Saccharomyces cerevisiae S288C: one gene and its partners. The gene in region 1 interacts genetically with each later gene. Each region holds a gene or a part of one and is shown in the gene's direction. Other genes may lie near its edges. The genes, in order: GPI12, PAU3, FAR8 and FRE2.

Region 1 (3,427 bases):
GTAGATCTTGGGATGGATAAAGAAACTAAAGTTGCCAATTGAGTGCTACGTTGATGAGTCGTCATTGATTTTAATGCCTTTACCGCAGGAAGACCAGGTGCCTCGTCCTGTTCAAAAGATATAGCGGTTGGATCGTTTAAACTCGTAGAAGTAGGCTTGACGTGTAAATGATTTGTACAGGAAACGCCGTCACAAAGATGGTCTTTGTGTGGCGGTGGAGGTGGTGCCCCCAATGGACTCATTGCAGAACCGCTATTATCACCATCCATTTTGCCATTTTGTAGCTGCTTATTAACCGTTTGATTTAATAAATAGATATTTGTAGAAGACAGATTCAATGGAGCATCTTTCAAATCATGTTTGAAATTGCCATTTATGGTATTATCCGTTGATGTCTGTGGTCGCGACTGTGAAACAAGGCTTATTTGCTGTTCTTTGATATCACACAAAGCTAGCAAACGCTTATTCTCTGCCTCCAGTTCGCGTACTCTTTCTTCCAGGCTTTCTGTGTACCCTTTTGGATACGCTTTCCTCAGTAATTTATCGCTTATTCTGCATTCAAATCCGACAGCAGCACACTGCGAACACTGTGGTCTTTTTCCATCGCACCTTGTTTTCTTAGATCGACACCTGTCACAAGCTTGAGCTATCCTGTAAATAGGTGTAGATAAAGGAGTCGGAGAAGCTGTCTTGATCATTGCTTCCTTCACGTTCTTGGAAAAATGAGGGTTTGCCTCCGAACTTGAAGTTCTATTAGATATGCTAGGACCGCTAAGCGCTTGTGAACCCAGAGTTCTAATGACTCTGGGTTCCAAACCTTGTCGATCAGAATTATTATTTGCCATAATTTTGTGTCTTGTCTTTTACTCAACTTGTAAATTCTCTTTAGGGTGTTGTAACTGTTTATGAAGAAATAAATACCGTAATGAATTATTAAATTATTAAATTCTTCGTCTTTTTACAATATCACAGGTTTAAAGGGGAGTTTAACAAAATCTACTATTTTACGGCTGTTTTCTTTTTTTGAGTGTCACTGACCAATCATGCTTTCGTACCCCACAAAATATCAGCCCCGCCGCTCCATGCATGTCTCGGTTATCGCTTAATACGAATATAATCACTGAGAACCTCGGCGGCAAAAATATTTACCAATAGGCAAATTAAACACCGAAAAAAAGAAGTTTCAAGTAGAAGATTATCCCGAATACCAAAAAATTGCACGAGAAAGAATGTCTTTTTATGATTTATTGCTTATAATACTCAATTACTCTGGTTTTCTCCGTTCCTGTTACGCACATAAACTCTCTCTGTCTCTGATATCACAACTCATATCGCGAATAAACACCGGATAGAAAGAAGTGAGAGGAGCTACGATAACTGAATATACTCTTTCATCAAAAGTAATGTGCTAATAAAAAGAAATGTTGCACCATCTTAACAGATGTAAAAATGTTCTGCAGAAGGAAAGTTGTGTAATCATACACATTCAATAGTATAAGTCGTATCACAATCTGATGATAAAAGTTGTTACCTCTTTTAACTGCCTCTGATCCTTTTCACATTCAGTAATTTCTCGTAGATGTATATGTGCGAATGTGTCAATGTGTTTGTATGAAATAAACTAGTAGCCGGGTAACAAGTACTCCTAAATTCCCGCTTCGCCGTTTCTATCTCATTGGAGTCGTCCCTTCTAGAAGGTTTACTAGTTACGTTAACGTCATAGAAAAAGGAAAATCGACGCTGCGCTTTTATTTATAATCTTGCATTGCCCTCCTTATTTATCGAATTGTTAAGTGTAGATAGGTGACGCTAGAGCCGTATATTAGATTCTTTCAAACCCTGAAGAAAAGTTAAATGAAGATGTTGAGGCGTACAAAGGTAAATTTTTCAAAATTGCTTTACAAGATTACTAAACTAGCAATAGTACTGACGATCCTATATATTTATTTTACGCCCAAAATCGTCTCCCGAAACAATGCATCATTGCAGCATATTTTTCCTCATAAATATGGCGATTATGAAATCAATTTGGTCATAGCGCACCCTGACGACGAAGTTATGTTTTTTTCCCCCATAATTTCTCAACTGAATTCGTACTTTCCGAGAACCGTCCCATTTAACATAATCTGCTTATCAAAGGGCAACGCCGAAGGTCTTGGCGAAACCAGGGTAAGAGAATTAAATGAGTCGGCCGCTTTATTGCTACACAATGAAAGAGCAGTCTCCGTACAGGTGATGGATTTCCAGGATGGTATGGACGAAATATGGGATATTGATTCTATAACTTCTTCTCTTTCACAAAAGATAGATATAAAGAATCATAACTTGAACCAGATTATCGTTACCTTTGATTCATATGGTGTATCAAATCATATCAACCACAAAAGCTGTTATGCTGCCGTTAAAAAGTTGGTGGATGATTATGCTCAACCTAAGACCAAAAGAAATGAACAACCACCTCATGTCACTGCGCTTTATTTGAGAAGCTACAAGAACAACATCGTTTTAAAGTACAACTCCTTTATTTGGGAAATCCTAAAAATACTTTACGACCTGATTTCTCCATTCCGTAGAATAATTCAGGCGCTTCCGCCTAACACAGCCGCCGAAAAAGACAAGCTTTCACTTATGAATACACATGCACAATACGTACTAGCGTTTGCCACTATGCTAAATGCTCACGAATCCCAAGTTGTGTGGTTTAGATACGGATGGTGGATATTTTCCAGATTTGTCTTCGTTAATGAATTTGATGTTTATACATATTAGACTCTACACTGTAGATATATATATAAAAAAGTCCCATATTATTTACATCCTATAGAATAAGAATATGGAGAAAAATAAATGCTAATTCTACTTACACTTTTCTTACCAAAGGCTACCTATAATCATACCATCATCTTCATCGTCATCGAAACTATCTAGCCGCACTTTCTCCCTTTCCTTTTTGTTCTCAATCTTGTTTTTCATTTTCTTACTTCTTAGAAACATACGATTCGCACAAAAAATATTCAAATCTTTGGTCATTTTTCTATCAAAACCATAACTATCAATGAATTCCCTTACCGCTGAAAATCTACCTCTATTTACAAGCTCCTTAATAATACATTTTTGGTATTTGATAATGATATTGTTAACTTTTCCAGCATTTTCTGCTCTCGTTCTTTCGATCCCCGGTTTGAAACTCCTTAAAACATCAATTCCAAGCGGGAAATTGCCTGTTTTCTTCATGATATCGTACAGTTGTCTCAACGTCTCATAATCAACTGAAGGCCTTAGCCGCTTAGATGCATACCACTGCTTCATTAAATGCCAACATCTAACAACAGAAGTGGCTTTCTTGTCGTTTGCTGGTGTCCAAGCAAAATGACTTAGCTGAAACAGCCTTCTCCAAAATAGCGCATCCAATTTCACGTCCGGATAG
Region 2 (3,130 bases), on another chromosome or scaffold:
CACTAGACGGAGCCGCGCGCCAGCCGGGCGGATCCGAGACATCTTAGTCAGCTGAGACAAGAAAGGCACAGCTCTCGGACAGGAACTGCTGTCATATGAAAACCTAAAAATGTTTCCTGGAAATTCCATGACTGCGCAAAGTTTGATACGTTTATTGTTCTTCTCTACTACCGCACTTTCTATCTCGGAAACCTTTCAACTGAATGAACTATTGTTAATTGTATGGCGTGTGGCCTTGCTATTTCAGCAAATTTAGAGTAAAGTAAACTCCGTCGGACCAGTATAGTAACGAAACAAGCCATTGATTCTGCAGCATATTGCGACCAAAACCTGGAAATTGGTGGCTATGAGTTTTAATTTATAATTATATGAAGACAAAGCTTGGAATGCTGAGTACTTTTTCTTCAATGCTGCTCACTGCCCAGAAGCGTTCAGAACAACTCTACTGGAGCCATTCTGCTTGAAGGAGGATAAAAATGCCAAGATCAAGTCTTTTAAAGACTCTATCCCTTTTCATCGGAAAAGCACTACAAGTTTATTCTACAGAAGTGGACAAACTGTGGAACTTGATCCATACTGAGTAAGTATGGAAGACTGTTAACTTGGAGGATTTTTCTCTGCTTTCTAAAGAAGGTTCACTGCTTTACACTCACCTAGGTTCTCATGAGTATTGCTAGCTAGTGCGAGTTTGATCTATACTTCACAGACTTTTAACACCCCGTTCTTTAAGTTTTCCCTGATTATCAAGCGGATTTCCAATTCTTATTCCCCACTATCGCACCTTTCTTATCTGAATTGTATTTTTGAGTGGCCTAACTGTAATCTTTTATTTTGTTTTCTAATTATTGAAGGCGGTTTCTCGAAACATTTCACGATTTCCAAAATTCAAGAATTGAAATTATGAACATAGAAGACAAAATGCCTTTTTTATCAACTATTATGAATTCTCTAGAAAGTGGTTGCAAAGGAAATAAATATGTATTTGCTGAGAGGAAAAGTTTGGAAGAACAAAAAGTATTTCTTTGATGGAGCTGATTATCAAGCATTCTTTACGGGGAGCTTTCGAAATTTTTTATATTCAAGGACATTTATGTTGTGTGGGTTATTAAACGTGGGACTTTGGAAATACATCCAAGAAGCACAATTGAGCTCTAACGATGAACCGTTACCATAAAGATAGAGACATTTCTTTTGACTTAGAAGCTACATGGAGTACCAACTATTAATACACCTCTCCTAGAGAACATTTTTAAAATAGAATAAAATAAAGTAGCGCTCTCAACTACCCTTACACTTTTTTCCTTCATATCTGGCTAGAAAAGAGGGATTACATCTCGGAATCAAAGTTTTAATACTGCTACTACGAACTGGTTACAATTCTATTTTTATCATACACGATACTTTGAACATCAACTTCTCTCAATACCATCCGCCTTCAGCGGCTACAATTACGTAATTGCACCAAGGCATTCGCCGAGAGTTTACATATTTGCAGACCCTAACAGTATACGACTCCCAACACACGTTTAATGTTGTACGAATTCAAGAGATGGAAATATTTCTTCCGCGGAAGCCGTTTAAAGCAGACTGAATTTAGGCTTAGACAATAAGCTTCTGAACGAGGGTCCAAATCTAAAATTCGGATATTCTTTTTGACCGAAAGCGGAAACTTCACAGGCGCGCGTAAAAGGGTTTTTCAAGGCACCCCGGCACCCCTATAATTGGCATTCCCACATTCTGCGCATACGAATACACATGAGTGCCATAAAACAATACTCCACATACGAAACCTATGAAAGATGTATGATTCGTTCAGAAACAAGAGCATCTCCATAGAGATAATGAGATTGTGTGAAAGATGAGATATGGAGGATATGTGAGGTGCTAAATGAGCGTCTGTTAACGAATCGTTTAAGTAGTGATGACAGATGGAGGAACGGGTATAAATAGAGCTGCTTCAACTATATGCCTTTGAGGTATGCGCTTTCATTTCACTATTTCTTGTTAAGATTACATCAGCACTAACAAACAAAACAAATACAATGGTCAAATTAACTTCAATCGCTGCTGGTGTTGCCGCCATCGCTGCCGGTATTGCCGCTGCCCCAGCCACTACCACTCTATCTCCATCTGACGAAAGGGTCAACTTGGTCGAATTGGGTGTTTACGTCTCCGATATCAGAGCTCATTTGGCTCAATACTACTTGTTTCAAGCAGCTCATCCAACTGAGACCTACCCAGTTGAGATTGCTGAAGCTGTTTTCAACTATGGTGACTTCACCACTATGTTGACTGGTATTCCAGCTGAACAAGTCACCAGAGTCATCACTGGTGTCCCATGGTACTCCACTAGATTGAGACCAGCCATCTCCAGTGCTCTATCTAAGGACGGTATCTACACTGCTATTCCAAAATAGAGACATGCCTTTACTAATGAACTTCCATAGACATTGAAAAATAACGAAAGAATAAAAAAAAAATCTTTTTTTTTTTTTGATATAAATACAGTTGACTATATAAACATATATCAATACTATAAGCCTATATTTGATCAAGACGACATTATTTAGGTGCATCAACAACGGAAAAGAAACTTTCTTCTAGGCTATCCTTCTGGGGAAGCAGTTGAAAGTGCTATCCAGTATTATTGCATATATTCTTAATGAGTAGTGCTGAAGTTTGATACGTTTGGCTCTGTTGCTTTTATTTCTCCCACGAAAATAAATTGATTTCTTTATTTTTCAGTGTGTTGGCCCGGAGTTGTTTACACACATGTCTCTTTTTGGATTAATGCTGTAGATCAGGGACTATGCGAGCGACAAGTCAGAGTAACCATATTGAATTTTCGTCTCCTGTTATACGAATATTTGCATTTCTGTGCCTACTTATGTGTGTATATGTTTTTATTAGTCAGAAAATGGAGTAAGTGTTAAAGTAAGGATAGTGTTAAGGAGGTAATAACTAAAGATTTGTAGGATAAGGCGGTGTTATTTGTTGCAATTTTCTCAGGGGTGGAGTGGAAATGGTTTGATTCAATTATCAGTTAAGCAAGGAAGAGTTGAAGGGCGAACATTTGCAATAATCCCAATGTCATTTAATGCGGGTCGGCTGAGACGCTCAATATTCGGCC
Region 3 (4,370 bases), 500 kb from region 1:
GAAGACGATCAGGATGCAATTAGTAATCAAGAGAAAAAATAATTGCTAGTGAGCCTAGATAACGAAGAAATGGTGCGGCTAAGATATTGAACAGTTGAGTGGGATACTACAGAATTTTGATAATTAAGATAGTTCTCATCTGCGCTTTAATTATTCTTTTTATGTGTATAATATATGTTTATTGCCTTAATTTAAATTTAATATTTGTATTTTCTTTTTTTTGTTTAATTTGATTACTTTTGCTTATGAAATAGTATATATGGTTGTTTTACTTTTTTTTTTATTTATTTGATCTAAGTTTTATGTATGCAGATTAAAAGCAAGTTTTAATTAATTGGTATGTTGGTTTTGATTATGATTATGAGGAGTACCGCTATTGCTATTGTTTAAATTACTACTGTTGTGTTCCAGTTCATTCACGCCTGGATCAGTTTTGAAGTATACTTCATCCGGCAAAGTATCTGTTGAAATTATTGAATATTTGATGAGCCAATTTCTCATTGGTTGGTAGTCTAAAACAGAAAACGGAATGTTTAAATCGATAAGAATCTCTATCAAGTCGTTCATGGCTATTTTCGATTGAAGTTCTCGAACATTTTGCTGTTGGACCTGGTGGTTGATGAGGCTCGATCCGGTTTCAGGATGATTTCCGTTGACGTCCCCTTTTTTCTTCTTTTTCTTCTCTTTGAATTTGGCATCTGGTTCAACAAGTAAATCACGCATCAATCTAGATTGATAGTCATAGCATTCCTGGAAAAGTGGAGAATTATGATCAAAAAATTCGGTAAAATTATTTGGTGTTAGCTGGACATCGTGAACTTTACTCAAATGTCTTTGATACTTTCTAGAACCATGCTTCTCTCTACTGTTCTTATCTTTCCATATCATTTCTTGATTGCAAATTCGCTTGGTTCTACGGTCATAAAATTGGCAATATGTGTTGATAGTTAGAGGTGATTTAGCAAATAATAGTTTAGATAGATGGTTTCCCTTAATATCTCTTCTCTTGGGAATGGGAAGCTCCAAAGTTTTCATAATGTCTGATCTAAAATTTAGTGTTTCTGAAGACAGTAGCTGCATATTATTCTCTATGAAATCTACCACTTGTTGCTGTTGCCGTTGAACTGCATATTTAGAATCCTTTGTGCTATTCGATTCAATAGTTCCCAGAGGAAGCGACTCATCATGAGTAACGTTGACAGGAGATGACTTGGCAGATACGGTAGCAGAAGAAAAATCTGGCGAGAAGTTCTCTTTTTGCAAATAATCCGGTACCATATTCATATTAAGTATCCTTGGAGTTTCCATCTTGTTGGGCGCCAGATACATCTCCTCACGAGGAGTCCCACTACGGTTGGCAGGAAAATTAGGCAGTGTCGCTATATCAACCATGCCTCTATTGTCTTGAGGAGGGCCTTTAGTGGTAGCAAATTTCCCCATTTCTGGATTTAGGTCCTTCATAACTGCTTGTAGTTCTATCTCCTTGTTTTCGAATAGCTTCTCAGAAAGTAAAAAAAAGGATAATATTACAGTTTTTGATCTACAGAGTCCCTTTTTGTACCCCTCCACTCAAATCGTTCTGATACGTACGTCTCTAGGTGTCAGATGATGGAGTAACTTGCAGATGTTTTACATGCGTTTCTTTTGGTTTACGCGATAATAGTTCCTTATTAAATGTCAAGAAAGTGCTAGTTGCTTCAGTTGTTTTAAGATTGATCTCCACTCTCTGCGTCTTCACATGCGCGGGACAACTTTACAGGAAAACAAGGTTTAAGAGATAACCTATTCGGGTTTTACGTAGGATGATCTATTATAGTCTATTCAGTTTTTACTGCTGCACCATCCCCTAGGCTTCTTTGTTGGGATATGGTATAGTACTCTATTGGTCTTAACTTTGCGATCTTCCCCGTCGCGTAATCTTAGATAAAAGCCACCTAGAACGACTAAATGTGAGGAGCAAGCAACAACATTAATAAAGAAACCCAAAAGAAGTAAGTGCGTGTAGTTAGACCGGAAAACAATATGGCTATTAACCAGGCACATGTTCATCCGCATTACACGTTACCTGGTGTAATGCACTACTTGCAAACGGAGTTCACGAAGAATGAAAGAGATAGAATCACCTGGGAGCTAGAAAGGTCGGAAATGAAAGCAAGAATTGCAGAACTAGAGGGCGAAAATAGAGATTTGAAGCATCAATTGAATCAAATACAATCGAAAGCTGTTTCTCCTGAAGGTGAAAAGGAAGAAAAACATGTGCCTGATTCATTACTGCAGTCTAAGCTAGCTGTTCAAGAAAATGTGAAGGAAATAATTTATTTGTTGAAAGGCCCTAACACGGTCAATCAGTTAGAGTCATTAAATAGCAGAGAAGCGGGTTCTGAATTGCACGATTTAGAGAAACTGAACGTGAATACTCCCAAGGAAGAGGGCAGTGCGAAGACAAATGGGATGGATATTTTAAATAATGCCCTCTTGGACACCAAACCCAATCCAAAGCAAGGTCCTTCAGAGTCACCATCACCAACCAAAGTGAAATCTTTGTTTAGCACAGCCAACAAGCGTGAAAATAATGAAACAATATCCAAGATACACTCGGAATTGTCGAAAGTCGACATTATCAGCTCCTACGGGGACTGTATGGCACTTTATGATGCAGACACCAAATCGTTAGAAATACACCAAGTGGACGCAAACTTGAATTCCAAACTCTTAAAGAAAATATCTTTAGGGCAAGATAGCGACATTATGAAATTTTTCTGGGTTTCGACGTCCAAACTCCTTGTTATTGAAAAGAGTTTCCATTTGAAATTGTTCTCTATTTCTAGCGCATCTTTGATCTCAGATGTGGACCTATTACAAGACTCAGAACAGCCGTTTTCGTCTAGTGATATCATTAATATAGACTTCAAAAATAAATGGTTGTTGATAGCTAGTAAGAATAAATCTCAAATTAGAATCTGGGAATTGGACAATATAGAGGCTCCTGAGGATGTCCCAATTAACATAAAAGAAACATATGAAATAACACATGATAATGATGACGATGATAGTAATGATTCCACAAACATTCTGGATTGTATATTGGGTATAACAGAAAAATCCTTAATATTACTGTCTTCAAATCCATACCAGCTTACCATATATGATTTCGAGGGTAAGCTTCTACAAAAAATTGATTTGAAGATTGATACAATATTATCGGGTAAGCCAGAAGAAGAAGGTTACCATTTATTTTTGGATAGAAAAACTTCTAAGCTACTGATTCAGCTAAGCAATGAGAGATTATTGGTTTATTCTTTTGATAAGAAAAAAGTTGTACTGAAGGAACAATTGACTCCATCGTCAACACTACCAATACAACTCGATTTGAACGACAGCATAATCACCGTATCATATAGTAATGGAGACTTTGAGTTTAGGAATTTAGAAAACCTAAAACCATCCATCGACGAATTTGTCGTAGCAGACATCAACTTCTCGGAAAGAAAAGAGCCTGTGGTATTTTCTTCAAATCTGATTGTAGATTCTACGCCGGTGTTAATCACCGTGAATAAAAATAACGAAGTCCTTTTGCACAAGATTAAAATATAACTGATGTAGGCAGAAAAAAAAATAATATATGAATCTGTCTAATAGATACTTATGTGTACGTATATAGGTATTTTTTTCTATCCTCTATTCATGGTATTTCCGCTTCCCTTAGCATGACTTTCCTTGAACTCGTCCCACTCACGAGCTTTATAGGTTTCTCTATCTTGCCAGTCCATGTTTTCTTCATCTGGTGCTTGCTCTGGTTCTTCGCCACCTTGAAGAACGCGACCTTCTTCAAACTCTTTATCTAAAAATTCCTCCACCGACATTGTTGGTCCATATTGACCATATCCTCGCACTTTTTGTTGCAGTTGTTGCCTTTTGTCGACAAGCGTGAAGTTCCTCAAGACTTGACCTTTTTTGTCTATCAATGGCTTATTTATATTCTCTAATTTATCGGTAAAACCAGTGGAATCATCATCATTCGATTCTTTTCGTATCTGAGTACCTGATGATTTGACTTCATGTACGGAATTTTTGAGGAAATTAGAGAGCATTTCACATTCAAATAAATTCTGTTCAATGTTGTTAATCGTATCAAGACTAAAGTGATGTAACCTCATCAAATATAGTTCTCTTAGTAATTCATCATGGTCGTGGTCCTCGTCGTTGTTTTTTAATTCCAACTCCAAGCAGTGCAGTTTTGTGCTAATTTCTTTATTGCGCTGGAATAGCTCAATCTTTTCTTTTCTCTTCAACTGTGCTCCAGATAAATCTTTGTTATTTTTTGGTTGCGCGTACAATTCGCTAAGCTGAGGGTTATAACGATCCTTGAA
Region 4 (4,617 bases), on another chromosome or scaffold:
GTTCGGATATCAAGTATCGATATTAAGTACTCAATATTACAGGCATTATGATCTGGCCTAGTGAACAAATATAATCAGCAAATTTAGCGGAACCGATATCAAGAAGTTAAAAAATGTCTATGTGTTAACCAAGATCCACATACTTAGAATGTACCATAGTAGATGCTTATAAAAGAGCGCCATGTAGTTCCGCATTGTATCAGCTAATGAGGCAAAAAAACAAGAATGATCTTTTGTACAATTTTGAAATTTTCACCTAGCAATATAGTCCCAAACCAAGATGTTTTCTATAAAAGCCTTTAATCCGGAAGTGCAAAGTGGTTGAAGACTAGCCTGAAATCTAGAATCCTTGCATATTTTTTTAAGGTTTATTTTCCTCCCTCACTATGGAAAAATGTTACATCGATAATATTATAATAAGCTAGTCAGTTTGACCGCCTAGCTAGTACTAATTATTTGTGAAACTGGTAAGAGTGTTCATTTGCCCTTCATAAGTGAACTATAATTGGTTTAGGATGCGCCAATATCTGGATTGGACCACACTATAGAATATCAGAAAAGGCAAGATTTGTTTAACAAAAAGCATGACTAAGCTAGACCATTGAGAGCAACCTCGAAACTAAGGTGGAGCTGTGATCTTGAATATTCTACTCTGGTTATCGTTAATTTCGATTAGCCCAAGATAACTCTTTTGAATTTCAAGATTTTTCAAGCTGCCTCCTTAATGATTTTATGGATTGTAGGAGGAAAAACCTTAGCGTGGTATTTCTGGAACACGGATAAGGGAAGATGCTGATTTTGTGCCGTCTTGAATACCCCTTTGAGTATTGGACACTGTTTAGACGAACGAATAATTCGAAACTTATTGAGTGTTTTTGATAGGGGGATGTATGAATACTTCCATTTTTGGTTTTAAATAAGTACAAGAATTTCACTATGAAATGGTCAAGAATGTATTCGAGAGAAAAAACTTTTTTAGGGAGAAATAAGCAGCATGAGCTACAGAGATATCCATAACAATGAATAACATCATAATGTCTCTCAGCCAGAAAACACAGCTAGACAAATACTGACTTTGCGAATGCACCAGAAATGAACCATATGGGCTAGAATCCATTGTACCAAAAGTTGCCTGTTCTTTACGTTTACCAAAGAATATCGCACAGAAAACTGTCAAAATTCATTGCGTTGTGTGACTCTAACTGGAAGTTTACTATGCAAACAGGATGATTATTGTACATTTATTCGTAATTGCACCCAGGTCTTTTTTGCCTTTATTTCGGGTTTACAGGAAAACAAGTAAATTTTGACGTGATAAAAAAGTAGACTCGTTAAATCAGGATGAAGTACCGGTAATGGTTGCATTGACAAATAGTTGGCTCAATGATGCTAGTGGGTATTGATTTTGTTGAAAATATGGGTGTATCATTCGTGCCATAATAGAATTAGCAAGCAACCTATCATTCTACATTCTAAACGATAGTACTGTTTCCTTGCTTTTCTGAATTCTTTTCTGATGAACAAAATCCCTCCTTTCTTGGACAACATACTCTAAATTCGGTTATTGCAAGGTATCATTAATTTGCCACTAAATATATAAGTCGCAAAAAATGAACATGATTTTTTGCTACAGTTGTAATAAAGTCTTTTTTATCCAAAGCTTATGAAACCCAACGAATATAATGCATTGGACGTCCATCTTGAGCGCTATTTTGCTTTTCTGCCTGTCAGGAGCAAGAGCATCACCTGCAAAGACAGTTATTCGTAACAAGGTGCCCTTGCTTGTCACTAATGCCTGCACGAGGATTTTTCAAAAAGTTACTTGGGAGTATACCAGCAAGTCTAAGCGTTCATCACCAGTATGTTCTTACGAACCAGCGTTTCAATCAATGCTGTATTGTATCTATGAAACGTTGGATGAAAAAGGTTATTCGAATAAAACCTTAGAAAAAACATTTAGTACCATCAAAAAAAACTGTGCAAGTTATAGTGATGCTCTTCAGAACATGACTAATTCTGAGTTTTATGACGTTCTAAACAACGGAACGAGGCATATGACGCCCTATGTCAAAGGCAGTGCAAACCTAACATATCCAGTTGAAATGGATACACAGTTAAGAAAAGCCTACTATCATGCATTGCATGGTTTCTATGCTAACTTAGATGTCGGAAACATATATGGTGGCATTATATGTGCTTATTTTGTCGCTATCATGGCTTTTGCAGGCGTTCTTCATTGCATGAATTACACTCCCTTTAAAACTGTTCTATTGAAGCAAAAGCTTGTGGGATATGTAAGGGGATACCTCACTCTACCTACCATTGGAAGCAAACATGCGTCAGATTTCTCTTATTTTAGAATATTCACAGGATATTTACCTACAAGATTAGAGGGTATCATTATTCTTGGATATCTCGTGCTTCATACCGTTTTTTTGGCATACGGTTATGAATACGATCCTGAAAATATAATATTCAAGTCTCGTAGAGTTCAAGTTGCTCGATATGTGGCAGACAGAAGTGGTGTACTCGCATTCGCACACTTTCCATTAATAGTTCTTTTCGCGGGAAGAAACAACTTTCTCGAGTATATTTCTGGGGTTAAATATACTTCCTTCATTATGTTTCACAAATGGTTGGGAAGAATGATGTTTTTGGATGCTATGATTCATGGCTCTGCATATACTAGTTATACGGTAGCGAATAAAACTTGGGCAACAAGTAAAAACCGATTATATTGGCAATTCGGGGTGGCAGCACTTTGTTTAGCTGGCACAATGGTTTTCTTTTCCTTTGCAGTATTCAGGAAGTATTTTTATGAAGCCTTTCTTTTTCTTCATATCGTCCTTGGTGCAATGTTCTTTTATGCATGTTGGGAGCATGTTGTTAGTTTAAGTGGCATTGAGTGGATATACACTGCTATTGCGATTTGGATCGTTGACCGGATTATTAGAATTATCAAAGCTTCTTATTTTGGTTTCCCCAAAGCTTCCCTACAACTAATCGGGGATGATCTCATTCGTTTAACAGTTAAAAAACCGGCAAGGCCATGGAGGGCCAAACCTGGGCAATATGTTTTCGTTTCGTTTTTACATCCACTGTACTTCTGGCAGTCACATCCATTTACTGTTTTGGATTCAGTAAGCAAGAATGGTGAACTGGTTATTATCCTGAAAGAAAAAAAGGGAGTAACAAGACTTGTCAAAAAGTATGTGTGTCGCAATGGAGGTAAGACATCTATGAGACTAGCTATAGAAGGTCCATATGGTTCTTCATCTCCGGTCAATAATTACAATAATGTATTGTTACTCACTGGAGGTACCGGTTTGCCTGGACCTATTGCACATGCAATTAAACTTGGAAAGACGTCAGCGGCTGCTGGAAAACAATCTGTAAAATTAGTGATTGCAGTTAGAGGATTCGACGTACTCGAGGCTTATAAGCCGGAGTTGATGTGTTTAGAAAATCTGAATGTACAGCTTCACATCTACAACACAATGGAAGTCCCATCATTAACCCCTAGTGATAGTTTAGATATTTCTCAACAGGATGAGAAGGCTGATGAAAAAGGCACTGTTGTGGCAACTACTTTAGAAAAGTCTGCCAATCCACTTGGTTTTGATGGTGTTGTTTTCCATTGCGGGCGACCAAATGTTAAGGAACTTCTACATGAAGCGGCTGAATTGAGTGGCTCATTATCTGTGGTTTGCTGTGGACCTCCTATTTTTGTTGACAAAGTGAGGAATGAAACCGCAAAAATAGTTTTAGATAAGTCTGCAAAAGCCATTGAGTACTTTGAAGAGTATCAATGCTGGTGATCATTTTTTACTTAAAACTAGTCATTTCATTAATAATACCTATCCAAATTTTAGTATGTCGATGGAGAAAGCTGCCTATAACTTTATGGTAAGGAGGTAATTGAAGCAGAGTACAGCAGTCCTTTGATATTTTATCTAAATCTTAAATATCTCTTTTATGGAATTTGTGAAAGTCGTAGTGTGTCGCATGGTTTTTTTTCTTAAGAAGTTAGCTCTGTATAGTCCCTGTATTTAAAGAGTTAATATTTCGATAAACCTGCAATGAAACCCTTTCTTGGCAATTTGGCTATATTTAAAGTGTGAACAATGGTCACTGAATTTTTATACGGCCCTCAGGCAAATTTTATGAAACGTTAATTGCGTGTTTCAGTATTATACACAGATGCAAGGAAGATAAACAAAACTGCATAAGCTAACTTCCGTCCTGGAAAATTTACCACAAGCTTTATAATGGCTGTTATTTTATTTACCATACCATCCGTTCATATATCTTTTCAATTTTCTCTGTATTCCTGTTTTTGTACTGTGGAGTAATATCACACACCGAGTCTTCGATATAATCGACATAACTCATGCATATAGGATACTTAAAGATAGAGTTTGATTCAGAGTGCCGGATAAAAAGATGATTACCGTCGCTAAAACAATGTAATCGGGATAAGTGTATAATAGAGGCTACATTATCCAACATATGGTTCTATTAATATTTTCGCGACGCCAACGTTGTCGTCTTTTACAGCTTTTTCTTTTTTTTTTTTTACCTGGTTTATTCATTATTAGTTGTTAACTATCATCTTGT

What was found.
Region 2: mutations in GPI12 (region 1) and PAU3 together harm fitness more than expected from each alone (negative genetic interaction), as found in Saccharomyces cerevisiae (one large-scale study listed by BioGRID).
Region 3: mutations in GPI12 (region 1) and FAR8 together harm fitness more than expected from each alone (negative genetic interaction), as found in Saccharomyces cerevisiae (one large-scale study listed by BioGRID).
Region 4: mutations in GPI12 (region 1) and FRE2 together harm fitness more than expected from each alone (negative genetic interaction), as found in Saccharomyces cerevisiae (one large-scale study listed by BioGRID).

The regions. Positions count from the first base shown.
Region 1 is NC_001145.3:830,485-833,911, forward strand, and holds GPI12 (N-acetylglucosaminylphosphatidylinositol deacetylase), read left to right. Parts: upstream 1-1,854; coding exon 1,855-2,769; downstream 2,770-3,427. Other genes in the region: DNA-binding transcription factor CAT8, read right to left, coding at 1-845; AEP2 (Aep2p), read right to left, coding at 2,872-3,427. UniProt on the Saccharomyces cerevisiae protein: Involved in the second step of GPI biosynthesis. De-N-acetylation of N-acetylglucosaminyl-phosphatidylinositol.
Region 2 is NC_001135.5:305,759-308,888, forward strand, and holds PAU3 (seripauperin PAU3), read left to right. Parts: upstream 1-2,042; coding exon 2,043-2,417; downstream 2,418-3,130.
Region 3 is NC_001145.3:327,884-332,253, reverse strand, and holds FAR8 (Far8p), read left to right. Parts: upstream 1-2,022; coding exon 2,023-3,594; downstream 3,595-4,370. Other genes in the region: EIS1 (Eis1p), read left to right, coding at 1-42; RSF1 (Rsf1p), read right to left, coding at 331-1,461; TAP42 (Tap42p), read right to left, coding at 3,672-4,370. UniProt on the Saccharomyces cerevisiae protein: Participates in the control of the reentry into the cell cycle following pheromone treatment.
Region 4 is NC_001143.9:8,292-12,908, reverse strand, and holds FRE2 (ferric/cupric-chelate reductase), read left to right. Parts: upstream 1-1,682; coding exon 1,683-3,818; downstream 3,819-4,617. UniProt on the Saccharomyces cerevisiae protein: Metalloreductase responsible for reducing extracellular iron and copper prior to import. Catalyzes the reductive uptake of Fe(3+)-salts and Fe(3+) bound to catecholate or hydroxamate siderophores.